Macaca mulatta: one gene and its partners. The protein of the gene in region 1 interacts with the protein of each later gene in a pairwise test. Links are inferred from orthologs where the notes say so. Each region holds a gene or a part of one and is shown in the gene's direction. Other genes may lie near its edges.

What was found.
Region 2: the proteins of KIF2A (region 1) and FAM13C interact in binary tests that used the Homo sapiens proteins (3 or more experiments, as listed by UniProt). The two-hybrid records come from large-scale screens. The link is inferred for Macaca mulatta from reciprocal best matches to the Homo sapiens genes KIF2A and FAM13C.
Region 3: the proteins of KIF2A (region 1) and LARP1B interact in binary tests that used the Homo sapiens proteins (3 or more experiments, as listed by UniProt). The two-hybrid records come from large-scale screens. The link is inferred for Macaca mulatta from reciprocal best matches to the Homo sapiens genes KIF2A and LARP1B.

What each region holds. Positions count from the first base shown.
Region 1 is NC_133411.1:70,201,065-70,211,942, forward strand, and holds the start of KIF2A (kinesin-like protein KIF2A), read left to right. Parts: upstream 1-4,209; 5' UTR 4,210-4,270; coding exon 4,271-4,334; exon of another isoform or gene 4,335-4,381; intron 4,382-9,914; exon of another isoform or gene 9,915-9,920; intron 9,921-10,878. UniProt on the Homo sapiens protein: Plus end-directed microtubule-dependent motor required for normal brain development. May regulate microtubule dynamics during axonal growth. Required for normal progression through mitosis. Required for normal congress of chromosomes at the metaphase plate.
Region 2 is NC_133414.1:90,567,292-90,577,397, forward strand, and holds part of FAM13C (protein FAM13C), read left to right. Parts: intron 1-4,874; coding exon 4,875-4,970; intron 4,971-6,332; coding exon 6,333-6,532; intron 6,533-7,640; coding exon 7,641-7,742; intron 7,743-10,106.
Region 3 is NC_133410.1:136,975,691-136,986,037, forward strand, and holds the end of LARP1B (la-related protein 1B), read left to right. Parts: intron 1-824; coding exon 825-934; intron 935-1,652; coding exon 1,653-1,780; intron 1,781-4,248; coding exon 4,249-4,446; 3' UTR 4,447-5,529; downstream 5,530-10,347.

The sequences.
Region 1 (10,878 bases):
TTTCCTTCATTCATTCAACGAGTATTTGCTGAGCAGCTGTGTTCCAGGTACCCTTCTATGTGCCAAAGATAGAGTGAAGAATTTTAGGCAAGATTTCTACCCTTGAGGATGTTACTTTAGTGTTGAGGAGGAGAGACAGATTGAGAAAAGTGGGGGTAAGGTGAGGGACAAGGAAAGGCTTTTTCCAGGAGTGATTTTTGACCGAGATCTGGAAGATGAAATCAGTCACATGAAAAGTTGAGCAAGAGCAGCCATCCTGATCAGAGATCTTGACTGATTTAGGGGACAGAAAGCACTTCTGCGAAAATGGAGCAGAGTGAGAGGAGAGCAGTGCCAGATGAGGCTGCTGAGGAAGCCAGAGCTAGATCGCGTAGACTTTTGTAAATAATTTAGATTTTATTCTGGGAAGCCAGCTATAGGTTTTAAGAAAAAAATGATATTATCTCTTTTGCATTATCTAAGTGATCACTTCAATAGCCTTTCACCTGGTATTTTCACTGAGCAGAATGTGACTACAAGTGTCTGGTCTGAAACTCCTGAGCTCAAGGGATCTTCCTGTCTAGGCCTCCCAAGGTGCTGGGATTACAGGTATGAGCCACAGCACGCGGCCTGGGTTATATTTTATAGGATGGTTTACTTTTATGAAACAAATTATAGGCCAGGCGCGGTCGCTCACACCTGTAATCCCGGCGCTCTGGGGGGCTGAGGCGGGCAGAACATCCGGGGTCGGGAGTTTGAGACCAGCCTACCCAACATGGTGAAACCCCATCTCCACTAAAAATACAGAAATTAGCCGGACGTAGTGGCGGGCGCCTGTAATCCCAGCTACTCAGGAGGCTGAGGCAGGAGAATTGCTTGAACCCGGGAGGCAGAGGTTGCAGTGAGCTGAGATCACGCCATTGCACTCCAGTCTGGGTGATAGAGTGAGATTCCATCTCAAAAAAAAAAAAAAAAACAAAACCTATAAATATCAAGGCACTATCACATTTTATTTGTCATCACAAAAAATTTCTGTGATTGAGAGAATGTAAGTTATTATTCCAGGTTGATCAAAGAAGTAACTGAGATACTGAGCAGTTTAAGAAGTTAACTCATTGAACAAATGTCTGAGTGCAGACTATATAATCCTAATAAAAACAGTAGTTCTTAGTAGGGTATATATATCTTAGTGATTAATTAGTAGTTACCACTTCAGGATCTTATTAGTAGTAGCTCTAGTTAGGATTATACATCTTGTTAATGTCTGAGTCACAGTTAGAATCTTTGATCCAGGATGTTGAAGGAAACATAGCCACATTGTATGTATTTATGGCTACTCTTCAGGAAGCCACTAGCATACAAAGCCCATAATGAAAGTCTTGGTAAATACATACGCTGATGTGTACCAAAAAAACGTAAGCCTTTTGGGTATGTCTTTTTTTTGAGACGGAGTCTCGCTCTGTCGCCTTTCACGCCATTCTCCTGCCTCAGCCTCCTGAGTAGCTGGGACTATAGGTGCCTGCCACCTCGCCCGGCTAGTTTTTTGTATTTCTTAGTAGAGACGGGGTTTCACCGTGTTAGCCAGGATGGTCTCGATCTCCTGACCTCGTGATCCACCCGTCTCGGCCTCCCAAAGTGCTGGGATTACAGGCTTGAGCCACCACGCCCGGCCCCGGGTATGTCTTATAAAGGAAAAGTTTTGTGTTTGTTAAGTGTTATGTCATACATTTTTATGGAGCAAAACAATGTATGTATTTTAAAAATACCTTTTATATGGATTAAAGGTTAAGACTAACCATATAAACTACAGAGTGTAAGGTATGTGTCAGCAACCATGATACAAAAAATATTTTACGGGCTGGGTGTGGTGGCTCACGTAATCCCAGCGCTTTGGGAGGCCGAGGCGGGTGGATCATGAGGTCAGGAGATCGAGACCATCCTGGCTAACACGGTGAAACCCGTCTCTATTTTAAAAATACAAAAAATTAGCTGGGCGTAGTGGCACACGCCTGTAGTCCCAACTACTTGGGAGGCTGAGGCAGGAGAATAACTTGAACCCACGAGGTGGAGGTGGCAGTGAGCCGAGATCATGCTACTGCACTTCAGCCTGGGGACGACAGACCGAGACTTTGTCTCAAATAATAATAATAATAATATTTCATGAAGCAATGTTAACTTTGAGCTGTATAGCTTGATTTCTTTGCATTCTTTATAAAGTATAAATAAAATATAAATAGATGTTTTATACCTCAGTTGCAGAGACATCAGAAAATGAATTCTAGACAGGAGCTCAAAGAGTTCAGATAAAACTCCCAAAATTATAGAAAAAATAAAAGCTAAACCCTGATTTGGTCAAATTTCACTTGAAACAGGGGTTCTCAAGAGTGATGTCATTTCTGGAATGTAAAAGAAGTTATTTTCCACATTGTCTATCCAGTGTGTGTGTGTGTGTGTGTGTGTGTGTGTGTGTGTTTTAATAGAAATTATACACACTTTAGAATGGATTCAATAGGATTGTTCTTTTGACAAGGATACCTTCAATATGTTCAAGCTACAGATGAAGCCAGTCTTTTAACAGTTTTTAAAGGACCTACTTGATGACTTAGATTGAAAACTCTAGGAGGACACATATATCCAGATAAGCACTGATGTATATATCCAGTTTCCAATTTTTAAATTGTAAATTGTATATTTGTAGTTATTGTTACAGGGAGATTAACAATGACTAGGGAAGGCCGGGCGCGGTGGCTCATGCCTGTAATCCCAGCACTCTGGGAGGCGGAGGCGGGTGGATCACCTGAGGTCAGGAGTTTGAGACTAGCCTGGCCAATATGGTGAAACCCCATCTTCTACTAAAAATACAAAAATTAGCCGGGCCTGGTGGCGCGGGCCTGTAATCCCAGCTACTCAGAAGGCTGAGGCATGAGAATCACTTGAACCCAGGAGGCGGAGATTACAGTGAAAGGCGATCGCGCCACTGCACTCCAGCCTGAGCCACAGAGCAAGACTCCCTCTCAAAAACGAAACAAAACAACAACAAAAAACAATGACTGGGAAAAGTAGGCCATGAAAAGTGTCGTTTCCTACATATCAATTGCCAGTACTACAAGCAGGAGTTAGACGTTTGGAGGTTTTTACACGGTGCTATAAATACAGTTTCCCGGGCCCCGGTCCACGTGGCCTTCCTGCTCTGCCAGGATGGAGAGTCTTGCTTTCCACATTGCCGATGTGGTCAGACTAATTAAATGACTGCAGAAAGACACATTCCCTAGTCAACCTTATGTGTCTGCCTTATTCCATTGAGTCACAGTTGTTGGCTTTACCGGGCAAAGCAAGTAAGTCTTGAATCCTCAGCAGAAACAGGACACCAGCATCTGATGCCTCATAACCTGAACAGTTAAGGACGTCCCACCACAGAGCTTCCTTTTGAGCGTGATGAACTACAAGGCAAGACTACAAAGGGGTGGATCTTCATTTCGATTTAGGGTAGGTGACACCTCAAAGGTGTTTCTTCCCTTCCAGCGTAACTGAATGGGAAACCTGAACCAAGTGTGCTTGGGAGGACTGCTTGAGTCAGCCACCTGTAAGCGGAAATAGGGGGTGCCACCTTCCTATGAAAACACCCAGCCCATACTGTCAACGGAGGGCCCTTGAATTCACATCCCTCAGCCCGCTGGAAAGCCCTGAAACCACGTGGCCTTTAACCCATTCCGGCAACAGCGCCAATTCACAGAAGCGAGAGGGCAAGAAAGCTCAGCGCGACGCTTCCCGCGTCTTCTAGGCCGCGCGCTTAAATCAAACACGACGCCGGCTAGCTGGGGGCCGGGCCGAGAGCGCACCGCTACAGCGGCCGGGTAAGCCGCGGCCGCCGCCCGCCCCGCTGCAGAGCTGGGCGGGGCCACCTGGAGGCAGCCGGGAGAGGCAAGCCGAAGAGGAAGAAGAAACGCCGAGGCGCGCTCTGCGCAGGCGCGCGGCGCCCCGCCTCCCCAGCGTCGGCTCCCGGGCAGGCGGCGCGGGCCCTCCCACTCTACCCCGCGCCGCCTCACGGCCCCGGCCCTAGCTTCACCCCGACTCCCCGGCGTGCGCGTCCTCCTGCCGGCCTGCAGGCCCGGGGCCTCCGCCTGCTTCCCCACAACTGCTCCTCGCGGCCCCGCTCGCGTTCACGCTGTCGCCCGGGCCGGCGCGGCCGCGGGCAGCCGCTCCCCCTCCCACACCTACCCCGCCCCCTCCCCGCCTTTTCCGTTCTCCAGTCCCCCTCCCTCGGCCCGCTGCCGCTGCTCCAGATGAGGTGATGGCAACGGCCAACTTCGGCAAGATCCAGATCGGGATTTACGTGGAGATCAAGCGCAGCGATGGTGAGCCGCGCTGCTAGCCCCGCTGGACCGCTCGGCCTCGCGTTCGGGTGTGCACTGAGGGGACGCGGGCGCCGGCCGCCTCATTGATTGCTTCGCCGGGCTGTGGGGGCGGGAAGGCGGCGGCCGCGGCGCTTTTGTGTGTGGTGTGTGTGCCAGTGAGGCCGGCGTGGGGTCCGCCCGGGCGCCGCTGCAGTTCTCCGGGCCGGGCCGCGGGGGAGGGAAGCCGGGTGGGGAAAGGGCCTGGGTGTCGAGGGTCTCTGGGCGGGGGCCGCTCGCTCCTCCCCCCGCAATCTCCAGCCCCCCCCGCCGGGGACACCAGCCCGGGAGGGAGCGGGCTTCGTTAGGGATGACCCTGCCTTGCGCTTCCCCGCGGTCTTCGCATTTTACCGGCCTGGCCTCTGACGGGGATGGGGGTGGGGGGAGCGAGAAGACCAGCGATTTCACGTTTAGAGAACCGACTGCTGGTCGGAGGCCGAGATGGGGGAAAAGAGCCAATCCCGTCGCCTTAAACTGCCGTCTGGTTGTCAGACCTCCCCGGCTTTCGTCCTCGACCATGCTGCTTTCTTTTTTGCCACTTCCTTGGGAGAAAGATGTGGAGAATATCGCGCTGAGCCATGAATAAGGGTGGGGGAGCAATGCGAAGAAATATTCGATGGGCTTCTCCAAGGTGATGAGAATGTAAAGGGAAGGATAGGGGATGGGCAGAGTCAATGCGAGGCACTGCTGAGAGGGTGTGGGGGTGGGCGACCGGATGTTGATATTTTCACACCCTCGGGAGAGGTAACTGAGAAAAGTGTAAGGCGAGGTGAAGACACATGCCTCATTTTTTTTTTTTTTTTTTTAAGAGCCTTAGGCTTATGTATCTTTCTGTAGGTTTCTCTTGGGGAAAATGTTTTATGTCACTAGCTTGGGGTGTGGAGTCAGATATGCCAGCCAGATTGTAAATAATTCATGTTGTAAAGGAATAAATGCACGGAGGGAGATAAGTGAAATTATTTTCTTTAGGTACCAATATTGAAAGAACGAGAGCTGTGTGATAATCTCGAGTTGAGCAGTGTTCCTGACTTCATCTCATACCGACTCCTTTTTTTTCTTTTTTCTTTTTTTTGAGACGGAGTTTCACCCAGGCTGGAGTGCAGTGGTGCGATCTCGGCCCACTGCAACCTCCACCTCCCGTGTTTAAGCTATTCTTCTGCCTCAGCCTCCCGAGTAGCTGGGATTACAGGCGCCCGTCACCACGCCCAGCTAATTTTTTGTATTTTTAGTAGAGACGGGGTTTCACCATGTTGACCAGGCTGGTCTCGAACTCCTGACCTCAGGTGATCCACCCGCCTCGGCCTTCCAACGTGTTGGGATTACAGGCGTGAGCCCCCGCGCCTGCCCTCGATTCCTTTTATTTGTGGCTTATGTATTGGCCTTTAGCCTAGCCTAGTCAGTAGTAACTTGGCTCTCGCGTCCCCGCCCCCCTTGGATTCTGCCAGGTTTGACCAAGTTATGTGAAGCTAGGTTGATTTTCATGTTGTGTGTATGATATATTGGAAGACCCTATATAGCTAATGATTTTTTTTCTCCATTATATTTGAGGTAATTTGTGGTAACAACTGAAACCATCATTATCCTGTATATGAAAAGATAAATTATACCGCTTAGGGCTTTAGAAGTTACCAGTAACACTGATGGGAAAGAGATACCTTCTTTACTTCGGTTGAGGTTTCTTTTGTATTTTCTCTTCAAATTACTTTCTTGAAAGAGTGCTGTTAATGTCATTTTTTTTAGGTAAATACGAGTTCACAGTATACCAGCAAAAGTAGGATTTACATATTGTTTTGAAGATTCTGGGTGCACAGCAACCCCTGTCCTGGGTATACCCCCAAGGGAGAGGAAATCACCACTTTGTGAAGATATCTGCAGTCTCGTGTTCATTGCAGCATTATTCACAGTAGCCAAGATAGGGAAACAACCTAAATGTCCATCGATGGGTGACGAATGGCTAAAGAAATTGTTCTGTATGTGTGTATATGTTTATGTGTGTGTATAGACAACGCACAATGGAACATTATTCAGCCTTAAAAAAGGAGATCCTACTATTTACCACAACGTAGATGGACTTGGAAGGACATTAAGTTAAATGAAATAAGCCAGACACTAAGGAAAATATTGCATAATCTCACTCATGTAGAATATTTTTTTAAGGAGCTAAAATACACAGAATGAAACAGTGGTTACTACTGCTGGTGGGGGAAAGGAGAGGAAATGGGGAGATGTAGGTCAAGGATACAAAATAGCAGATATGTAGGATGAACAAGTTTAGAGATACAGGGGTACCAATGTTAGTAAAATTGTATTCGAGATTTTTGTTAAATAAGTAGATTTTAGCAGCTGTTGTTAAAGAAGTAATTATGTGAAATGATAGCTATGTTAATCTGCTTCACCATTTTGCTATCTATATTCCATAGCATCATGTTGTAAACCTCAGATACGCACAATGAAATTTATTTTTTTAAAAATTAGGGTGCAATAAAATGTGTAAATTCTTTACACTCTTAAGTCTTTATTAGTATAGATGTTAACTTTGAAATCTTATCAGAAAAAAGCATATGATATTTGATGTATACATTTTAACTTTTATGGAGCATATTTTATTTAAATTTATTGAACTTGAAGTGGTTTTGGTTTTTTTCCAGCCTTCACCTTCAGCCTATACCAGAAGTTCCCAGACATACAAGACCTTTGTGTTCTTACATAAGTGCTACTAACCTAAAACCACGTTTCAGAAGCGGTTTGCCTATAAGAAATTATGGAAGTCATTATCGTGTGTTATTATCCTAACCTATGGTCATGTATCTTTTTATGTGCCTCAGATGCATGATGGAGTTGGTGGAAGGCAGAAGATTAGTAGAGAACTTGGAAAGAAGGGAAGGATCATTTGCATTGGACAGTAGTGTTTCACAGTAGAAATCATGTCTGGTAGAATGCCCCTCAAGCTTTCCCTTTTTCATTTTAAAGAAGCTTGTTTGCTTCCTCTCACTTCCATAACAGATGTATATTGGATAAAACACTAGTGGTTACTATAACAAAAATACACTTTGCAGTTGGATAAACACTAATATCTGAGACAGTAGAAATGACATGAGTAAAGAAGGGCTGCTTCAGACCATTTTATTTAATACTTTAAGTTCTAGGGAACATGTGCACAACATGTTTTAAGTTCTACTTTAAGTTTTACTTTAAGTTCTAGGGAACATGTGCAAGTTTGTTACATATTTATACATGTGCCATGTTGGTGTGCTGCACCCATTAGCTGCTCATTTACATTAGGTGTATCTCCTAATGCTGCCCCTCTCCCCTCCCCCCACCCCATGACAGGCCGGGGTGTGTGATGTTTCCCTTCCTGTGTCCTAGTGTTCTCTTGTTCAGTTCCCACCTATGAATGAGAACATGCGATGTTTGTTTTTTTGTCCTTGTGATAGTTTGCTCAGAATAATGGTTTCCAGCTTCATCCATGTCCCGCTTCAGACCATTATTAACTGGTGACTTGATGTTTTTCTTTTTGCTTGCTGATGGTGATCCATGTCCCTATTTCAGACCATGCTTTTCCTATCAGTGATGCTCTTATACTAATAAACATATTCCAAGGGCAAACAGGTACACTAAAATGAGCTTATTCCTATTTTTCAAGACCGTGATGAAAACTATCCTAATGAGTCTTCACTGATTACTAAAACCAGATAAATTCAGTCAGCATCTGAATTCCTAGGTTATCCTGTGTTATTCATGAGATAGCGTATTTCCTTAAGTATTAATGTTTGGGTCTGTAACTTTTTTTTTTTCAACTCCTCTCAGCTCATACCTGTGGGTACATATTCTTAATATTATGTTTTTAAACTGCATGGGGTAATGGGACTTACTAATAACTAATACTTCTTTTTTTTTTTTTTTTTTTTGAGCGGAGTCTCGCTCTGTCAGTGGTGCGATCTCCACTCACTGTACCTCTGCCTGCCGGGTTCAAGCGATTCTCATACCTCAGCCTGCCAAGTAGCTGGGACTACAGGTGTGTGCCACCATGCCTGGCTAATGTTTGTATTTTTAGTAGTGACAGGTTTTTGCCACGTTGGCCAGGCTGGTCTCGAACTCCTGGCCTCAAGTGATCCACCCACCTCAGCCTCCCAAAGTACTGCTGGGATTACAGGTGTGAGCCACTGCACCCAGCCTCTAATGACTCTTAAATTCTCTGAATGCATCTGTGTGTCGTTACCCCCACTCCCACCCCCACCTCCACCCCTTGATGCCTAGCAAAATTCCTTGCACATCGTTTTTGAATAAATCATACATTATTGGATTTTTTGTTTTCAAACATTTTAATTAATCATTAGAATGACGTCTTAGCTGGAAGCAAAACCTTCCATCTATGCTTCTCTGTACTGCTACCTCCCTACTCTGGCCCTCTGCTTCCCACTGGCCTCTTAGTCAGGATCTACGTCGTTAATTGAAATTGAGTGATCTGCTAAGGTTAATCTGACTTTTCTGGTATTCTAAGGTTATCAGTGACAGGGGTTAGGATTGGAGTCCTAAGATTATTCCCTGCCGCAGGAGATAACCTGGTATGAAATTGGACTGGTATATTTTCTTACATGTGTCTTCCTATTTTTCTGATTCAATTCCTTTCCCTTTTTAAAACCCACTGACTCTTAAAAAAACCTACGATCTTTCTGTCGCGTAGCTAGTTGTTTTTTGTTTTTTAAGCTGCACTGTTAACAGTTCTATAGTAGCTGTGACTACCCTTTGGGTACTGGGGGAGAAATGAGAAATGTTGAACATTTGGAAGCTGCAGCTAATATGGGATTGTTCTTTGGGGGGGGTCTCTTAGTCACAATACTGTGACTGTATTGATACATGTGATCTGAAAAGAATCTTAGAATATTTCCACCAGAAAGGTTTTTGGAGATAAACTAGTTTTCGTTTTTATAAATGTGGAACTTGAGTCCCAGATCACCATAAGTGACTTATCTAGATTCATACAGCTTGTCAGTGACGGCCAGGAACCTGACATGCTCAGCATAGAAATCAGACTATCAAGAACTATGACAGTAAAGGAGGAATTCTCTGTTATTTTGGAACCATATACCGCTTTTTACAGCCCAGTCAAGATGTAGGAAATTGCTTCTTACTTGAGAGAAAGGCACCAGTGAGCAGTGTTACAGAGCTTGATTAGAATGATCCCTGGTAAGAAGTGATATGTTACTACAAGTTCATAAAACCTAAAATTGTGGGAGGAGAATATTCTTGTTTCTTAGTTAAGTGTTGGTGTAAACAGTTCCTTGTAACATCTGAAATCAAGAGGCAATTGACAATTTCTGAGGACCCATCAGGAATTTTGGGGTTCAGGACAGGCAAAGAAAATCTTCAGAAAAGATTTTAAATGGCCGAATTCTTTATATGCTTTGCCACATTTTTCTTCTGCTGGTTCATCTTTACACGTCATTATATAGGCTTCTGGAGAATAGAGTGTGTAAATTTAAGTAATAAAGATGAGCCATGTAGCAATACAGTTGTTCTTTCGGTACAATTATGTGATTGATTATGCGGGTGAGATGGAATAGGGGAATTTGTGACCTAATAGTTCCCTTTTGCCTGAGGACTAGGACGATAATGTTTCTGTATACGTATTTGTTAGGGCTTAATAGTTTTCCAAGTGCTTCAAGACATGTTAACTAATTGGATCCTCACAGGAACTCTATGAGGTAAGCAGGATAGGAAGATGGCAGATTATCGGTTTATAGGTGAAGAATCTGAGGTTGGATTATTTGCCAAGATCACATGGCTGATAAGGGGCATATCCTGGGCCAAAGCCTAAATCCCTTCACTCCCAGCTCTCTTAAGTGCTGCAGACAAATGTTAGCTGATTATGGTGTGAAGTTGTATACTTCAGTAACTTTTTTGAGACATACAAACCCCTGTAGTAAAATTCTTTCCACTACTATGAAAGAAGCGCAAAAAACTTAAAATAGTCACTTACTTATTGCTTCCAAAAGTACCACAGAAAGCCAGGAATCTATATTCATCGCCTAGCCACTTGATTCTTATGACAAAGATTTGAAACTCTGAGGAAAGGCTGTGTGTCAACTTGTTTTATGTGTCATGATTGCTAAAATACTAGAGAAAATAGCAAAGAGCCAGTTAAATCTTGTGTGCTCAAATGAGACAAGGGGCAAGAGTGTGGAAAATCCAGAACAAGATTCCTTGAGAGATCATCTAGACTCCATTCTTTCTAGTCATAAGTATAGTTGTGATTAATATGACATTAATCTTTTGCAAAGTTTGATTCTTGGATTCAGCCATCTCCTTTAATTTTAACACCTCTGTTTTGTAACCTAAAATAATTTTAAGGTGTTTGTTTGTTTTGAGATTATGATTCTTAAGCTTAAGAACAGACACAATTTTTAAACCTTGGATAAAACTAATTTTTATTCTTCTGGTTCAGTTGTAGAACAAATACAGGTTAAGTTGTCTTCCAGTTTTTAGCTAAAGTAATATGAATGATATT
Region 2 (10,106 bases), on another chromosome or scaffold:
AATGCATTAAATATTAAAATTTCAAGATAAAGAATGACATCTTTTCTAGAGAGACTTTATTATGACTCTTTCCATAATTTCTGCATTTGGCATTTAGTCACAGACCATACTAAGGCTGATAAATCCTATAGCATTGCCTTGTTGGTTCAGATACTGCCAGTGAGTAATTTTCTTCCTGTTTTATCTGTGGATGATTTTTAGAGATAATCACTTCTGGGTTACAGGACATGGCTGTACACTGGAAATGAATGAGTCATCCCTTGAGCTGAACTGTAGTGCCTATGTATGTCTTTAATGTCCTTTTCCTTTGGAAATACTGAACTGGTGCTGGCATATATATCAATATTGACCTTTCTAAGAACTGTAGGTGGTGTCAGGTGCACAGCTCAAATTACCAAGGGGATGAGTAATGACAGTTACTTCTTCTGGCCTCTCATCAACTGTATCATCTCTGAGGATGAAAGCAGATTTTTAGAAAGTATACATTTTATCTTGAAAAAATCAATACAAAATTAATAACTTATTAGCAGGTTGTTGTTAGTTGGAAAGAGAGTAGACTTAAAGGGCATGAAAAGGAAGATCCCATCAAACTTTCTGCTTTCCTATTTATCCTTCTTTTTTAAAAAAATAATTTATTGAATAGGTAATACTTTCTCACATAGTTCAAAAAGAAAATATATAACAGAAAATGGTAAAAAGACTACTTCCAAAACCAACTGCCATCTCCAGCTCCGAGATCTCCCACCCCCAGCAGGTAACTATTGTTATTAATGTCTTATGTGTCTTTTTTGGAGTTTCTATGTAAAACATATACAAGAAATTATCAATATACATTCCTTTTTTTTTTTTTTTTTTTTTTAATAGAGACAGAGTGTCACTTTATCATTCAGGCTGGAGTACAGTGGCACAACCATAGCTCACTGCAGCCATAACTCCAGAGCTCAAGTGATCTTCCCACCTTGGCCTCTCATGTAGCTGGGACTACAGGTGTGCAACACCATGCCTGGTTGATTATTTTAATTTTTTGTAGAGATGAGCTCTCACTTTTGCCCAGGCTGGTCTAAAATTCTTGGCCTTAAGGCATGCTCCCACCTCAGCCTCCCAAAGTGCTGGGATTACAGAAGTGAGCTACCATGCCTGGCCCCAATATATATCTTAACTTGCCTCTGTTAGACAAAAGGGAGCAGTCCATACAATTATGCATCCTTTTTACTTTGTATATTCTGGATAGCTTTTTATATCAAGACATAGCTTATCATTCTCTTTTATTTTTTAAAAAAATATTCAATAGCACTGTGATATTCTTTTTTATTAATGGATAGCATTGACATTAATATCAAGTCAACTAGTTTGATAGCTCAAATAACATTTGGTATATGTGTTATTAATCCAGAAACATTTACATATAAAACTTATTAAAAGTGATCATCATTATGCATATGAGGAAACTGAGGTTCAAATATTACATCTTTGTAATGTTAAAAACAGTTTATAAGTTTTGAAGCTGGTTATCTGAACTCATGTCCTCTGGTTTCAAGACAAATATTAACCTTCAATTCCCGGCTTGGACATCTAAATTGACCAAAACATTATCTTTAGCAATTGCTTTCTATGATAATATCCAGTACTGACTTTCCATCTTGTTTGACTGTTTAATTTAAACAGTCAGACTTGCTTACATATAGTGCCTCCCTCAATAAGGCGATGGGGATACTTAGACAGGAAAATCTTGGCAGGACTTGAGTCCCTAAAGCTAAGAAGCATGATTTCTATTGCTCACTGTCCAGAGAAGAGAATGTCAGTTTTATTTCTCTCCTTAAGAGAGATCTCATTTATGGGGATAATTGTAATGACTTAATTTATAAATTTCTGTGGCTTACTGTGCAGGAATACATGGCACCAGTCCCATGGGGGAAAGGAAAACAAGGTGGTAGAAGTGCTGAAGCTATGGCAGCTTTTTCCTAAACAACTTTCTGACCAGGACCCAGAAACAAACTAATTTGGACTGACCCTCAGTAGCAGTTATGTCTCTTGGAAAGCCAGTTTATTTCCAGACCTTGATGATTCAAATAATCACTGATAGGGGGCCAGGAGTTTTCATATGGCAAAGTTGCCAAGCTATAAACAAATCATATCAAATTTTGTCCTATATATGGTCCTGTCTTGTTCAACCTCCTCTTAGTTTTACCCCTGATACTATAAAAAATGGAGAAACTGGAAGAATAATCATCTTTTAAAGTTTATCTCCTTTTATTTATCTTTAAATTATGACAATACATTCATAGCTCTCTTTGGCTGTTTTAGGTTATTCAACATGTAACCGAAAACATAAAGGAAACCTTGTTTCCTTCATTCACATAACAAAAATGAAAAAAATAGATATATCTTGCATACCACAGCCAGCAGCAACTATAGAATTAGGGAGGAAGGATGCACTTCAGAAAGAGACAGCCATTGAATTCAGAGGAGAAAATTAGATCTGATTCTTAGCAGAAAGTGGCTGAAGAATAACAGCAAAGTCTAATGTATTTCTGCCCCCTTAGATTTGGGGTATCCTGCAGAGCTTACCTTGATTCAGTTTCCTTTATGAAGATCACTTTGCAGGCCTATAGCTTTTCTGTGAGTAGAAAACAGCTCCTGGCACATAATCCCACTACTAACCTTCCTCAGGCAATCTGCTTTCCTGTCCTCTATCTGAGGATAAGCACTTGTAGACTTAGAGGTTTCACAGTGTTTTGTACTTACTATGCATGAGGGTATGGAACCCTCACATTTCCTCAGGGATTGCTTTGATAATAATCTTAAGAGGAAGACAATGGAATCAAAGTGAAAAAGCAGTGCATACATTGTATGTGTTCCCAAATTTTTATCCAGCATCTATGGAAGATACTTTTCTATAATGGCATTCATCATTCTATCATGTGTTTTGGTTACTTTTTTCTTTTAGAATTAAATTTAGCTTTTCTAGAATCTGGGGAATATATTAAATCACAAAAATCAAATTGCAATGGAGAGATTCCAATACTACTTAAATGCATCATTTTCTGAAATACTTTCTATGGATTGTAAGTCCCAGTAAGATATTACATTAAAAAACCACTATTTCCATGTTTTCTGAACTCAGACTGAGATTTTTTTCTTCTGTCATCTATTAAAATCCCATGAAATAGATTTTGATGGGAACCTGTTGGGTTTTTTTTTTCATGGAAAGATGTATTATGAATAAAAGTGTTTAAAAAATGATTGGGTTAGAAAATGAAAAGATCTTGAGGTTATTTAAGCAATACTTAACAGGCTTCTATAGAGGGAAGCGAGAGTTAGGTCACAGCGTATGGGACTTAAAAGAAGATTGCTAAAAATTAGAGTCCTTTTTTCATATAAACCTGTGTTGATAGCTTAGTAGTAGGAATGGGAAGGTGTTGGGTACTGTGAGAATTTAAAGAAGTATGTGATACGATCTCTCTCCTCAAGAATCATTTATTTGGGCAGACAATACTGAAACAAAGAAAACAGTTAAGACTCAGATAATGAGATAAGAAGTTGAGAGAAAAGGTAGATCAATACGGGCCAGAATGGTTTGCAATTGGGATGGGAGTTGTGAGCATGAGGATAACTGGGAAGTGTAACACATGTTTGAGACATTTTCTTTTCTTTCAAGGGAGACCGATCTGGATGGCAGATCTATCTGGCATGTGTGGGTGTGTGTACTTTGATAAAAGATGCCTGGGTGATTATTCCATGAGTTATTTCTACTATTCCCTTCCAACTACTTGCCAAGTGTATATCACTGGACTAGAGTAGGAAGCTATGTTTACTAGACATGCAGAAAATTAATGCAGAATAAAAAGCAGGAAAAAAACCAATACAAGCAAAGGAGTTTGGTCACTTTGGATAAATAGGCAGATACATAGACAGATAGATAGATAGATAGGAAGCTATTTAAATTTTTATGCACAATGTGATCCACTGAAAATAGTGATTAGGGATGGGTCTTACAGCAGAGGGGTATAGAATTTATTAGTGGATCAAGAGGTTATACATCTTTTTAATGGAAGGATATTGGTAACTCCAACCTCCTTCTTGTATAGGTAGGAACTTGAGGACTCAGAGAAGTTAAATGTTTTGTCCAAAATAATTTCATTTATATCACAACTAGTCATAACCTAGTATATAATACAAGCATGTAGTGATGAAGACCTGTACAACGTTGGTGTTTGTGACTACATATAATCGGGAAAGTCTAGATAAAATATATGTTTCAGAAGAAAAATCAATGTCTGGACTGGTTTTTTAAGAATGAAAAAGTCATTAAGGAAGAGGTTCCCTAACACTTATGCATTTCAGACTCCTCCAAAAATCACATTCCTAAACTTGGACATATGCTTTAAGAAACTTTTCCAAGAAAAAACTGGCATGTGCTACATACAGTATCTTGTAAATGACTTTATGGCTAGGCACAGTGGCTCACACCTATAATTGGAGGCCGAGGCAGGCCGATCACTTGAGGTCAGGAGTTTGAGACCAACCTGGCCAACATGGTGAAACCCTGTATCTACTAAAAATACAAAATAATTAGCCAGGCATGGTGGTGCGTGCCTGTAGTCCCAGTTACTTGGGTGGCTGAGGCAAGAGAATTGCTTGGAGGTCACAGTGAGCCGGGATCATGCCATTGCACTCTGCCTGGGTGATAGAGTGAGACTCTGTCTCTAAATAAATAAATAAATAAATAAATAAATAAATAAATGACTTTCCTTTTCATGATAACTGTTGCATTATAGTATTATAATCCTTTACTTTGAGGCTTTTTGTCTGCTAAAAAATATTGATGTTTTCATTCTTGTCTGAGAGAAGAATAATAATTTCATGTTTCTCAGGTAACTAAGCAAGACAAGAACCTCATAAAGCCGCTTTATGACCGATACAGAATTATCAAGCAAATCTTGTCAACGCCTTCCCTTATTCCAACAATTGTAAGTCAGGATACTTGCATGCTGTTACTTTGTACTGATGTGTAGTTAACATGATGTCACATAGTAGTACTAGAGTTATAAAAGACCCTTCATGGCAGTATATACTGCTAACAAGGCCAGGTGTCATTTCAAAAAGTGAAAATTTGGTCTTCTCTAACCCCATTACTATACTTAACAGTGGCTGATATTAGAACTATTGTAAAATAGGAACATATAGTACTTGTATGTCTAGAGCCAATTTTAACATTTGCTTTCATTAGCTTGGGTGAAAAGAAATTCATAGATTTCAGTTTGGCATTTTCTAATTTGTAACACAGCTAGACAAAACAGAGCCTTTCTGTTCTGTGTGTTGGTTAATTTTTTCCTTTAATCAGAAAATTAACAATATATTCTTGATATAATGCAACATTTGTTTTTGGTACCATTTGGCCGTACTATACAAGATATGAAAAGATTTATTTCAATAGAAAATATAAGTACTGAAATTGAGTTAGACTACTTTTAGTAAAGAATGATTTATGGGAATACAGAACTAGAAAAGCATCACAAATCCTACTCCATCAATATCAAAACAGTTACTTGTTCAAGATATCAATATAAAAAAGAATAAATATTAACAAATATAAATTTAAGTATGCTTGAGTACATTATACTTCCACATTTTTTGAGATGGATTATACTTCCATATTTTTAAAGACATTAAGAGAATAATTATTCAGTCTTTGGAATTTTCCCATTATGGAAGCATAATTTAAAATGTAGTAGAGTTCTTATATTTCTTGCAAGAGAATCTTCTAGTTGTGATAAGAATTATCAGAACAGGTTGAGGAGTAACCCCACTTTGCTTTGGCTTTCCAATAGCTCTCCCCTGAACTTGTCAATTTTCTGGGTATCCTCTGTATCTGAATGTTGGTCCTCACTGGGACCTGACTTGGGGTATTTCTGGAGGATAAAAGTTGTCTGTAGTCCACCTCATCTTAACTCATGTCACAAGTATTAAGCTGGAGCCCAGAAGGCCTGAGTGAAAGGGAGGAACCACTTGATAGTATAGTCCAGACTGGACCATATCCTAATGCTCTGTGCCTTCATTGGCCCAGAAGACACAGATGAACTTGGTGAGTTAAGTTTTAGCCCAGCATGGCTGCTGCCTTTTTGCTCATTAACTTCTGCAGGTTTTTAATGAAACTGAGGAAGAACTCTTCTTGGTTGCTTCCATCCCAGTTCTCAGTAGGCATTTGGGTCACCTACTGGTTTTCATGACATTGATTTATGGTTCCCCTTCTCGTATTTTTTGTTTGTTTGTTTCCTCAAGAGGCACTGAGCATTACGTGACTTACTTTCTTTAACTCTGCCTGTGATAAGCAGGAGGAAGAGGACTCTGATGAAGACCATCCACAGGGAAGCCAACAACCTTCTTTGCCAGATCCAGCATCTCACCTTCCTGTTGGTGACCACCTCACCTACTCTAATGAGACTGAGCCTGTTAGGGCCCTTCTACCAGATGAAAAGAAAGAAGTAAAACCACCAGCTCTCTCCATGTCTAATTTACATGAGGCTACCATGTGAGTATGAATCCTAAGTGTAGAGTCTCCTCTTAACTCCTTCTGATCTGATACCAGCATATGAAGCAGAGCTGGCCTTTGAAAATGCTGGATTCAAAGGGGTGGGTCAACAGTTCTCAGGGCCTTTATCCTAGACTCTTACATTTAGATGAGATAGTTTTTCCACTAGAAATCCACTTGGTAGTAAGCAAATGACTTGCCCTTTGTCTCTTAAATGGCCCTTCAGATAGAAGCCATTTGGATTTTCATTAATATCATCATTATTATTATCATTATTCAGTAGCTGGCATTCCTCATGATAATCTGGCCTTCTTTGGTTTGTATCTTACAGCCCAGATTATGAGATTTAGTTTAGTTTAATTTAATTTGACAGAAGTGTCTATCAGAGAAAGCAAGCAGAAAACCCTTTTTTTGGTGGTGATTCTAAAGGAGTTATTCCTAACTTTTCAAGGGGTGTTGGACTTTTTTGAAACCAACAGAATTGTTTTAAGAGAAAGCCCATATATAATTTCAAGTTCACAGAATCTCTGAAACCATACATGAGTTTGGTCTGCTTGTGTATACCACATTCCTGCTCTAGCGTGTATGACTTTTCTCTCATCTTGGTAGAATGAAGTGAGTAGAATTCACAATGTAACTATAGCTTTCTTCTAGGTCTTATTTTCATTCACAGGGGTTATGCCATTCTCCTAATATTCCTACACTTATTTCTCTAGATTAAGAATAGAATTGTCTTTAAAAGCTGTTCCTCTGTATCTCTTCAGTCTATCACCAAATGCTGATGAGTATTCCTTCAAAATATCCCTTCCCTCATCCATCTATATTGCTGTTACCCTTTCCAGTTCTTTCAGTGGATTCAATCAATCTGCTTGCCTCTTGTCTGTCCTTTCCCATATCTTGTGATATTTTTTCCATCAGGTAATTTTCCCTGCTTATGTGCTTGCCTATGGTCAGGCTCTATGTGTGTCATATTTACCCAAAAGACACTCTTATGCTCAGAACACTTTTCAATCGTAGTATGCTTTTTTGGCTGAACAGATAAATCTGCTCACGATGATCTCTCAATTATGCCAGTGCCCAGTAATGACAAATATTCTACCTTATATAGGCCTGTACTTCTTGACCATCTCCGAGAAACTAGGGCTGACAAGAAGAGACTGCGGAAAGCCTTAAGAGAATTTGAAGAACAGTTTTTTAAACAAACAGGAAGGTACGTGTGGGCAGAGAGATTTTTAAAGCTAATACTTCCTAGAGAATTACTGTTAAAAATGACCTGCAATTTTTTGCAGGAACGGTGACTTTTTACAAAATGTGTATCATTTTCACACTGGCTTAGACTCAGGATTTGTCCAATGCAACATTCTAATATTGCCAATATTAGGGATGTTTTATGGGACATGGTAGCTGTCAGGTATGACATCAATCTGTAAAAAATAAAAGTTAAACTCTAAAAATCTCTAACTTTGCACAATAAATCTCGACATAAATACATGAATTGTGTGGTCTATTCACCTTAGTCCCTGGCAGGTTTTCCATTTTAGCCTACCAGGATATTCTTTGGGACTGGACCTACTGAGTGAAAAGCTTTTTGCATTCAGCCAACAGAGATGTATCAACTTATTTTCTAGTTGGAATCTTCCTTTCAAGTTGATTGCAAAAGTCCAACTTACCTTTATGGTGATGTTAACTAATCTAGTGAGAAATGTTATGTGGCTCATAAATTTAGAACATAAAGCATTTGTTGTTATTTTTCCTTTTCCATCCTTTTTTCTTTTATAAAATGTTCATGTAACATTCCTTGTAAAACATTCCTTGGAGTAGTAACTTTGTCTGGACTGTCTGCTATTATTATACCTTGGATAAATATGTGACTTACACTATAAAGTTCCTGATCTCTGCCTCTTTTGGATTAAAGGTATTCTATGGGAATTTTTCATTCAGGGAAATATTTGTGGAGATGTTATCAAATATTCTAAATCTAAACAGTCATTACATATGAGAAATGACACTTTAAGATGTGCATACATTCATTTCATAAATTTGAGTTCCCTGAATAAATTTATATTTTTAGCAATTTGAACCCAGGAATCTATCTTAAGGGGTTTGATAACTTCCCAGTGTGCTACTAGTTCTGCCTAGTGGATCTGCAGTGCCACTTGGTATGCTTTTGTCATACAGGGAAGTTAGTTATGGTGTTAGGTATGGTGTTCTACTGCACCTATGAGTCTTAAACCCACTTCAGATAAGCCTATATATGGCTATGAAGTTGTATGCCCCCTTGTGGTGATATATTTCAACCAAATGCACAAGTGATGATCTTTTACAACTAAAATCAAACAGTTGAGTGGCTAGGAAATATGGACCTTAATTTTGTTTATCTAAGACATTTTATTGGGAAGGCCTAAGTATCAGTAAGGTAAAATAACCATGCAAATGGATTACTAAAATGTTTAAGGCACTATAAATATTCTTGGCAATATTTGCCATACAAGAGGCATGAGAATCATATAGATATTACATTATTATTAATGATTATGAGCTTGGAACTGTGCTAAGCACTTTAGTATGTTTTATATAATGGGGAAACTGCTTCAGGAAAGACTTGGCAAAACTTTCCATCCTTGTCAAAGCACTCTTATTAGCCAAAATGGAATATGCAAAACTAGGCAAAATTACATAATGGATTATTAATGTTTCTCTGTAATAATTAGATAATTTCTTTACTTAGATCTATTTATACAAATTAAGGTGATATTCAGACATCCAGTTATGATAAGTTTGACTCATAACACAGAATGAAGACAAAGGATTTATGTTATATACTTTAGACAATAGTCAAGAAGAATGCTGTCTATGGATTTGTATACTGTTTTGAGTTCTGTACTAGAAATTGCAGGGCAATAAATAGTGTTGAAATACAAGTAGATACTATATTCTTAATCTGTATAGATTAGCTTGTTTTTTATTTGGTAAGAGATAGAAATATCTCTTTATCATTACTGGGAAAAATAGAAGGGAGCTAAAGATAAAACATTAAATATATGCTATTTACCTGGTTTCAGCCATACTAATGTTAGAGAATATTTGTGGTTATATTCAGTTGTAATTGTGGTGACTATATCTGTGTCCTCTACCCCTTGAATTTCAAAGTCCTGGGTGGAAATGTTTTCAAAGCAATTGGCTATCTTATTAACCAAGAAAACAAGAGTCTTCTGAGACCCTGTCACAATTATTCCCTTTAGAAAACGTATCTTGACAACATATTTTTGTGGGAAGGCAAATGGTTTTAACTCCTGATATTACCAAGTTATTCTTCCAAGTAAACAGCAAGAGTATATGTACGCATACGTATAAAAATCTATGCATTGTTACATGTCTAGCTTTAGTAGAATTAGTGTACAGAAGATAACCACCACGATTTAGACTCTCATAAATTACTTCAATCAAGGACCAGCTCAGTGGTTCTACTACATATTAGCAGAGATAGGTATTACAATTACAAGACAATCTGGAAACGTTTCAAGTTTGTAAGACAGACCCTGAATGCTTTTCTTGTTACCATAAGTTTATAAAT
Region 3 (10,347 bases), on another chromosome or scaffold:
AAGCAGGGAGGCTCTCTTAACCATTTAATTATGTTTGTACCATTATAGTTGAATGGGACAGCCACCTAGGATCTAGGGAACAGCTCTATGGTCTTTATCTTCCTAGAGTAAAGCTTACATTCAAGAGTATTTATTTAATACTGTGTACAAACACACCATTATACATTTTGGTTTGGGGAAAATCTGACACATCCCCAATTTATCACTAAATCTTTTGGCCAGTTCTTCAGAAACACCAGGGAGAGATACTGTGTGCATCCAAAGAGGTCATACTGAACTGTCCAAGGGCTGCCTCTCATGCAGCAGGTTCTCTGTATACCTTCATGATGTGCTATGGCTGAGTCAACAAAAATAGCAAAGCCAGCTATGGATTACTAATTACCAGTTCAGTTAAAAATCTGCATACTGGCTGGGCGCAGTGACTCACACCTGTAATCCCAGCACTTTGGGAGGCTGAGGCGGATGGATCACCTGAGGTCAGGAGTTTCAGACCAGCCTGGCCAACATGGTAAAACCCCTTTTCTACTAAAAATACAAAAAATTAGCTGGGCACGGTGGTGGTCACCTGTAATCCCAGCTACTCATGAGGCTGAGGCAGGAGAATAGCTTGAACCAGGGAGGCAGAGGTTGCAGTAAGCTGAGGTCGCACCATTGTACTCCAACCTGGACAGTAAGAGTGAGACTCAGTCTCAAAAAAATTTAAAAATCTGAATGCTAAGATGTTATTTTTCATTTAGGATTACTTGTGCCATGTTTGCTTATATTGATGTTACTACTATAGAGAGATTGTATTTTATTATAAACCTTTTATTTTCTCTTTATAGGTATGGGTTAGAATGTCTGTTCAGGTTTTATAGTTATGGACTGGAAAAAAAATTCAGGCAAGAAATTTTTCAGGATTTCCAAGAAGAAACCAAAAAAGACTACGAATCTGGTAACAATAACATCAGAAAATTTATACTCTAATTGGAAATTGTAAACCTGAGTCTGTCAGTAAATAGGGAGGGAATTCATAGTTTTTTTCTTCAAGGCAAACCATTTAAGATCTTCATGCTATTATTATGTTTCTTGATGAAGGATGGGGCACCAGGTAGTAAGAAGGCCCTTCCTGGGAGGTGTTGGAAAGTAACTACTCTCAAGTCTTTCTTTTTTGGAGGTATATTTTGTCATTATCCCTTTGACAAACATGGCTACTCACTGATGTTTCATTACATGAAAATTCTATGCAACATCGGCAGGTAAGCTTGGAAAGGCAGAAATAGCACAGTGGTTAAGAGTGCAGGCTCTGGGCCAGATTGCTAGGTCCAAATTCCCTTGCCACTATTTAGAATCTTTGTGACGGTGGGTAAATTGCCTATCCTTGCTATCCTCAGTTTTCTCATCTATAACATATATGAGAACATCCATCTTTTGGGTTGTATATGGGTCAAATTAGTTTGATGCAAAATAAAGCACTTAATACTTGTTACATAGCAAATGCTCAATAAATATTAGCTGCCATTATTGCTTAATTCATTACATGTCTTATTCTCAAGATCTACAGTAAGCATATATTGGAAGATAAACTGTTTATTGCTGATAGGATTATATTTAATGTGAATCATTTTTAAAATTTTATATAATTTATAATGTATATTCTTCTTCGTTATTAGGTCAGCTGTATGGACTAGAAAAGTTTTGGGCTTATTTGAAATATTCACAATCTACGACACAGTCTATTGACCCCAAACTTCAGGAATACCTCTGTAGTTTTAAGAGGTTAGAAGACTTCCGTGTTGATGTAAGTTTTAAGTCGTTTCCTCTATTCTTTTTATTCTCCATATATTTCAATCTCTTCTCAGTGACTTTTTAAGCTTTAATTTTGTAATTTTTATTTTTTAACTTTTTAGTTTCAAAATTAAACTTTGAAATAGATACAAAAATAGTTCAGAGAATTCCCATATACTCTGTTCACTCAGATTTCCCAAATGTTAACATCTTGCATAACCACAGTGCAATTGTTAATTCAATTTAATTTTCATATGCTTCTATAATTAAACATTTTCTAGAAGTATTAATTTTTATCTGATATGCTAATTTGTCACTAGCAATGTGAAAACTTTTCACTTTTTAATGATCTTTTATCCGTATACTTTCTGTAACATGTGCTGATATGGATTTAGGGTACCTGCATAATAAAATTAAGGAGAGAATGTTGTGTGCATGTGTGCAAGTACAAGAGTGGTGTCTTTTAGTTGAGTCAGCTAGACAAGGTCCTTTTGCTGCCGTCTTATGACGATGTCCACTCTCATGGGTTCTTCTCATCACCTTTGGTTGAAGGTTGAACTTATATAGGCTTTATCAATTCGATTTCAAAAGGAAAAGAGAAGCATTAAAAAATGTCAAGAATCTAAGAAGATAAAGGAAAAGGAGGAAGAAGATAAATAAAAAATTAAGGAGAAAGGCTGGGCATGGTAACTCACACCTGTAATTCCAGCACTTTGGGAGGCTGAGGCGGGTGGATCACCTGATGCCAGTAGTTCAAGACCAGCCTGGTCAACATGGCAAAACCCTGTCTCTACTAAAAATACAAAAATTAACTGGGTGTGATGGTGCACGTGTGTAATCCCTGCTACTCGGGAGGCTGAGGCACAAGAATTGCTTGAACCTGGGAGGCGGAGGTTGCAGTGAGCCGAGATTGTGCCACTGCACTCCAACCTAGTCAACAGAATGAGACTCTGTCTAAAAAAAAAAAAAAGAGGAAGAAGAAAAATTTTAAATTTAGAAAAGAAGTCAAAGGAAGGCTAGGTTCATCATCTCTGCTTTGTGTTGTAATTTGTCTTGCAGTTTTGTGTAAATGGACTTGATGACCCAGGGATAGGGTTAATAAAAGTGCCTGTCTCTTGAATTAAGAGCTATTTTTCTAGAGTGGTCTAACCAGTTCTATCACAAAGACATCCTTGCTCTATATTTGAGACTCTTGTCCCATCTGAACATAAGCCAAGAATTCAGGCCTCCTCCTTTAAGTACAACAGAGGATTGGATAAGGAGGTTACTATCTTAATTTATCTCCACATAAAAATACTATTTCATTGGTGTCCAGTTCTGGGCTCCCAAATCTTGGTAACTGGAAAGGCCTAAAAAACTGACTTTTTTTGAATGCAGGATCCCTTTTCACTGGGTACTTAAACGTTTGAAGATGTTTAAATTTGGTACCATCAATAATACTCTCCAGTCTCCTTATCATAGGAATTCTAGATAAACCTTCAAACTTGCTAACGATAATTTAACTTGGCATCTTTTTTATTCCTCTACTGCTTTCATTTATCTGTTAAACATTTTCACTTAAGCAAGCCTGGAATAGGAGTTTAGGATTGAGAAAGAGACTGGAGATACAAATGTTTTACAGCTGACGAAATTGAATAAAGAAGGCAAATTGCCTCGCTGAAACATTTTCTTGGAGGCAAGGAACCCAGCCTTATACTTGTGCCCTATCAGATAGCTCAAGCCTAAAACATGAGAGAAGCTTAATAAACACATGTTGAGGCCGGGCATGGTGGCTCACGCCTGTAATCCCAGCACTTTGGGAGGCCGAGGCGGGTGGATCACCTGAGCTCAGGAGTTTGAGATCACCCAGGGCAACATGGTGAAACCCCGTCTCTACTAAAAATACAAAAAAATTAACCGGGTGTGGCCGCGAGCGCCTCTAGTCCCAGCTACCTGGGAGGCTGAGGCAGGAGAATCGCTTGAGCCCCAAAGGCGAAGGTTGCAGTGAGCTGAGATCACGCCACTGCACATCAGCTTAGGCTACAGAGTGAGACTCCGTCTCAAAAAAAAAAAAAAAAAAAAAAGACACAAAACAAACAAAAAAACACTCGGGCTACAGAGTGAGACTAGGTCTCAAAAAACAAAACAAAAACCAAAACCACAAACATATGTTGAGTAAAAGAATGAGCAAATACTAGTAGGCTGATTTAGTTAGGAAGGAAATTTAAGTTTAGTATCTTAAGTTGCTGTTAAGTTTTTGTTATACTAATAAAATCTGTGAGGCGGGTGCACGGTGTGAACCCGGGAGGCGGAGGTTGCAGTGAGCGGAGATCGCGCCACTGCACTCCAGCCTGGGCGACAGAGCGAGACTCCGTCAAAAAAAAAAAAATCTACTGAAGTGTCCATTTAACTTACTTTTTTTGGGGGAAAAGTGTAGCCTTAGGTTCTGAAGGGAGGAAAAACAGTAAAATTGTCAACGGTGTTGTCTTTTATCATTTGCAGCCCCCTATTAGTGAGGAATTTGGAAGAAAAAGACATTCATCTACTTCTGGTGAGGAGAGTAATCGTCATAGACTTCCACCTAATTCCTCTACAAAGCCACCAAATGCTGCTAAACCTACATCTACCAGTCAGCTTCAGGTCCCAATAAACGATCCCAGAAGGAATACTTCACCGGAGTCCAGTGACAATTCACATTAAACAGTGCTGCCTGTGGCCTGTGGTCTCAAGAAATGGTGAAATGCCTGAGAAATAGACTCTTACGGAAGTTCTTTGTCCTTGAAGTCAACGTTTACATCAGTATTTATTTAGGGAAAATCTTCTGATGTTTAATTGTGATAATCAGAAAGAAGAAAAAGAAAGAAAAGTGGTAGCATTTTTTCTAACAAGATAAATTCTAAAAATGTTTTCCCTGATTTCACAAACAAGGATAGTCTTGGTGACCTTTTACAGAGATCCTCTAGTAATGTATTTTGATCTCAGATTTCTTTTTCAAAGCCATGGTTTTACAAAAACAGCATTCCTTAAATATATTTAAAAAACAATACAAGGAATGCCTAACATTTCAGCTCATACTTCTTAAAGAAGATATAGTATGTTGTATTCTATTCTATAGAGCTTTCTTAAAGAATCCACAATCCAATTACCCCACTGTCAATTCATATTTGAACTTACCAAAAACAAAGGAGGATTACGTATATACTTTTTAAATTCAAAAAAGAATATGAAATTATACATTTAGTATTTCTTTGAGACATATAGTTTAAAGAAAACTTTTTTTTTAAACAAAAGTAGGAATATATAGCAAGATTATAGTTACAGTGAGTATATGCACTTTTGATGCTAGGTTTTGCTTTTCTCCCCCCAGTCATATCTCATGATTTCCACAGTTGTTGTATTGGTGTGGAGTTTTCTGAATTGGCATAAGCTGATTACATATTAGAGGTTTATTTTTATGATTCTATATAAACGTGCACAAGTAATTTAAAACCTACATTGGGGTTGGTTGGAATATTGTCCTGAACTAATTAAATCTTGCACTATTTTGAATGCATCTGCTATTTACACATCTGCAAGTGGGTAGGTCATAAGGAGTCAGATTATCTTTAATTTAAAATGAATACTTAGTTTTACCTTTTTATTTTTTGTTTAATTTTGTTTTGTCTTTATAAATGTTTTCAAGAGTTATAGCAAATTGATTTCTAATTTTTGTTGCTATTACAACTGATGTAAATGATAGTTTCAGTTTTTGTGAGATTAAAAAAATAAAGCACTTATTCTGAATTTTTTGAATTTTGAATTATTTTTATTTAGAATATAGTTGAAAAGCTGTAATATTCAGTTTTGCTGGTAAAAGACCATTAATTTTTGTGAATGAAGTTTCAATTATAAACTTACATCCACTTTTATTGAGCACTACTTAATTTACAGATATTTTGTTGTACTGCAAGTGGTTTCATTATGCTAGATTAATTTGTATTTTCTTTTTGAGCAGATTGGATGTCTTGTTCTTATAAATTATAATATTGAAATGCGTATAATCTTTGGATGGATGGGCTGTTAATTTGTAAATAGGTTTTCAGTAAGTTATTTCTCATAAGTAATAATTGGCAATTTTATAATATTTACTGTTTGGAGGGTCATTTTGATGCTTTAAATTGCTGAAATACTCAAATTTGAATATTCAGAAAATAAATTTATTTAGATATATTGTAAAGAGACTGCAAAACAAGCAATGGGTTAGAATAATAGATCTTCAAGTCTTTTCTTAAATGGGATATGTAGTTCCAGCTTTTCAGTGAGAAATTTCCAAACCATGCTTATTAGCTTTAAATGGTCTCTTGAAATGATCTATAAATTTTTCTCAGTGTCCTTTTTGTGTTGAACACACACATCTGAAACCTGTATTTAACCAGATATTTCTACTCAACTGAATATACAAGTGTAAATTTGATTGGAAAATTGTATATTATAAATGAAAATATAATAATCAAGAGTTTTGTGGTTTGTTTTAATTAGTAGTTTTATCATATTTTTATTATAAAAGTAATACATGTACGTTGGGAAATTTAGAAAAGCACAAAGAAGAAAATAAAGTACTTGTTATAAAAAGAAGAAAAACCAAAATTGGTATCAGGCTATATATAATGTTATAACCTGCTTTTTTCACTTAATGGAGTTGAACGTTTTCTGATGTCATTAATATTTCTCATTACTTTTTTTTTTTTAATTGTAGAGACGGGGTTTCACCATGTTGACCAGGCTGATCTTGAACTCCTGGTCTCAGGTGATCCACCTTCCTCGGCCTCCTAAAGTGCTTGAATTACAGGCATGAGCCACTGTGCCTGGCCAGTGATGTCATTAATATTTCTATTTCATGGCTTTTACTAGTTACATAGTATTCCAGCATGTGAATATACCAGAGTTTACTTAGCTAACTGCTGACTGTTGAACTTTGACTGTGGCTAGGTTTTGGCTGTTACAAACAACAATTAATAGGCCGGGCATGGTGGCTCACGCCTGTAATCCCAGCACTTTGGGAGACTGAGGTGGGTGGATCACTTGAGGTCAGGAGTGTGAGACCAGCCTGGCCAACATGATGAAACCCCATCTCTACTAAAAATACAAAAAACTAGCCTGGCGTGGTGGCGCATGTCTGTAATAGCAGCTATTCGGGAGGCTGAGACAGGAGAATCACTGGAACCCAAGAGGCAGAGGTTGCAGTGAACCGAGTCCACACCATTATTACACTCCAGCCTGGGCAACAGAGTGAGACTCCATCTCAAAAAAAAACAAAATAAAAGTAAAAGAAAAACAAACAACAATGAATAGTATCCTTACAGATAAATCTTTGTGTATAAAAGAGTTACTGTCAAGAACTCCTAGAAGTTGGAATTCTAAGTAAAAACATGTCTCCATTTAAGACCCTCTAGGAAGGCTGCACAGTTTACGCTTTCATCAATGACATCTGCTTCCCTACATCCTTATCAACACCAATTATGATAAATCTTTCTCTTTAGACTGGTAAGCAAAAAGTCATTTAAATCTCTCTCTCTCTTTTTTTTTTTTGAGACGGAGCTTTGCTCTTGTTGCCCGGGCTGGAGTGCAATGACGCGATCTTGGCTCACTGCAACTTCTGCCTTCCAGATCCAAGCGATTCTCCTGCCTCAGCCTCCCGAGTAGCTGCATGGAATGCACCACTATGCCCAGCTAATTTTGTGTTTTTAGTAGAGACGGGGTTTCACCATGTTGGCTAGGCTGGTCTCGAACTCCTGACCTCAGGTGATTCACCTTGTCTTCCCAAAGTGCTGGGATTACAGGCATGAGCCACTGCGCCTGGCCACTAAATCTCATTATTAATGTCACCATTTTAATCAGGTCACTAATAAGTGATAATTTTTATTGCTTATTAACCATATTGTTTGTAGATTGCTTGAAAATACCCCTTATGTTTTCCTTTTGGAGTGATTATCTCTTTCTGATAAATTTATGGAGCATTATTACTTACCAAGAATATTAACCCTTTGCTTTCTAATTTTACTTATGTATGTTTGACATGGCATGTACTTTTTTGGGTAAAATTTTTAAAAACTATACCCCTTAAAGAAATTCTGAATGTAAAGCTCAAGCAAATAAAAGCACTACTATTTAATGAAAAGACAATCATTGGCTATAAATCTAAATGGTCCTACCCAAAATTTATGAAAGTCCCTACAGAACTTAGAGCTTCCTTTTTTATGATTTTGCACAATTTTCAATGTCATAAAAAAGGCAATGCTAAAAATGTTATTCAAACTCCTTGTCCTCCTTTTAAGAGACTAGTTGAAACTGTCTTTGACATTCTCTACACTAAAGGAATTAGGAAGAGAGTTATGTTTTTAAAGTGGTATTATTTTAGTTTTAAAATACATATATTTTTTGTTTTTATTTTTTTGAGACGAAGTTTTGCTCTTGTCGCCCAGGCTGGAGTGCAATGGCACGATCTTGGCTCACTGTAAACTCTGTCTCCCAGGTTCAAGCGATTATCCTGCCTCAGCCTCCTGAGTAGCTGGGATTACAGGCATGTGCCACCATGCCTGGCTAATTTCGTATTTTTAATAGAGATGGGGTTTCTCCATGTTGGTCAGGGTGGTCTCAAACTCCCGACCCCAGGTGATCCACCCACCTCGGCCTCCCAAAGTGCTGGGATTACAGGCGTGAGCCACTGTGCCTGGCTAGATTTTATTTTTTAAACTTACGTTAGTTTGGAACTCCACTCTGGCATTCTGTCATGCTTTTTGCCATTTTAGAAAGTAGTGTCACCACTTTCCTTTGTGTGCTTAATCTTTTCCTTCAACTAATTTCTTGGCTTTTATGAAACTGCTTATTATTTTTATTTTATTCTTGCATAGGAGGCTGATCCAACAGAATAATATCTAATTATAGCACCATGAGATGGCAGAACAGAATGTCATATCTGTAGACTTTTGACAGGAAAGTGAGTATGTGTGTGTTTTTGAGACCTCTTACTCCATCTTGTGGTGATATAATTATATCAATTACTCTTGCATTCCTGATAGTCATATGTGTGCCTCACAACTCATTACGTGGTTAGGCATTGCCCTGGTTATTATTAAATTTGCATTAGTTATTTGGTTATGAGTAAATATATATGATAACATTAAGACTTGTATATAATTAAAAATGGAAATCCTATTGCTTTGGTATTTTGTCCTTTCACTTAAGAGTTTGAAGTACTTCATTAGCATTATTTTTTTTATTAACTCTCTTGAGATGTGAACAAAGCAAGCAGATTTTAAGGTATATCTCCTGGCTAACCTAAGCCATGTAGTTAAGTCACAGAGCAAGTTAATGAATGGATCCTGCCTAAAACTTGAGAAACTTAAAACTAGATGTTACTCTTGTAACTAGAACAAAGTGTTATCACACAACTAGTTGAATGGCTGAGCCAGGATTTGAACTCCAGTAATCTGGCTTCAGAGCCTAGGCTCTTCATCTTAACCAGATTGTTCTTTAACAGCGTGAAATAGAACACAGAACCGCTGACTTTCAAACTCAACTGTAATGATTCTTAAGTATTATAAATCAAGATTGGATTGTTGTGGTTAAGACTGCATTTTTTTTATGATAGGCATCCTCTGCGTTAATGGAGGGTCTAATGGAATATTTAAAAACATACATTATGTGATAAATGATTTACAATATATGGTAAATCTTTTGGGAGGAAATTATGATTAGGAAACAATATCATCCATGTGTTTAAATGTTTTCCTAGAATTAGATAAGGTAAAATACAAATGAAACTGAGCATTTTATTTAGAATTTGCTTAGAAACTTTGCATTAATTTATTTAGGGTTATTATTGACAACTGAAGATTCTGAACTGTTCGACTTGAAGGAAATATCCCACAAGGTTAATTAATAGGAATCACTTCTGACTTTACACTCTGTGCCAGTCTTCTGAGTTCTTTACAATAAGCCTGTTTTTTTCCTTGCAAATTAAGAAATAATGTGGTTAATAGAATGGTTTCTAACAATATACTACACATATTAGCTTCAATAAATTCTAGAAACCAGAATGTGCTGCTATTGTTTTGTGTTTTTTCCAGATAGTATTCCAAGTCTACAAAATTGAGTACCTTTCTCCATGTGTTTTAAGATTCATTAGACTTTCATTGTAACACAAACGTTATCACAGTACTGTAATGCTTAATGTTAACATTTTCTGGTTTCCAGTTGAATGCCTTTAAGTATAATCTGAGGTGAGACTTATTTTAATGAGTCAATGGATTGACTTTAAGGGAAGTGGTCTGTGAGAGCCAAAATTTAGTTAACTGCTGCTCTAGAGACAGCTTATTTGTTAGAAACATGAGTTGAATCTTGGCCCCTCTCACTAAGTTACAATCCTTTATCTACAAAATTACACTTACCTCATAGGGTCCTGAAGAATAAATGCACAGCATGTAACACAGTACCTGGTGGTACAGTAAACACTTAGTAAACATGAGCTATCATTAGGGCTAAGCGCTGGACAAATTATCTCCAGGTATTGCAAGGTATTTTCTTCAGTGGGCTGTGAATATAATTTTGAATTTTCATGGG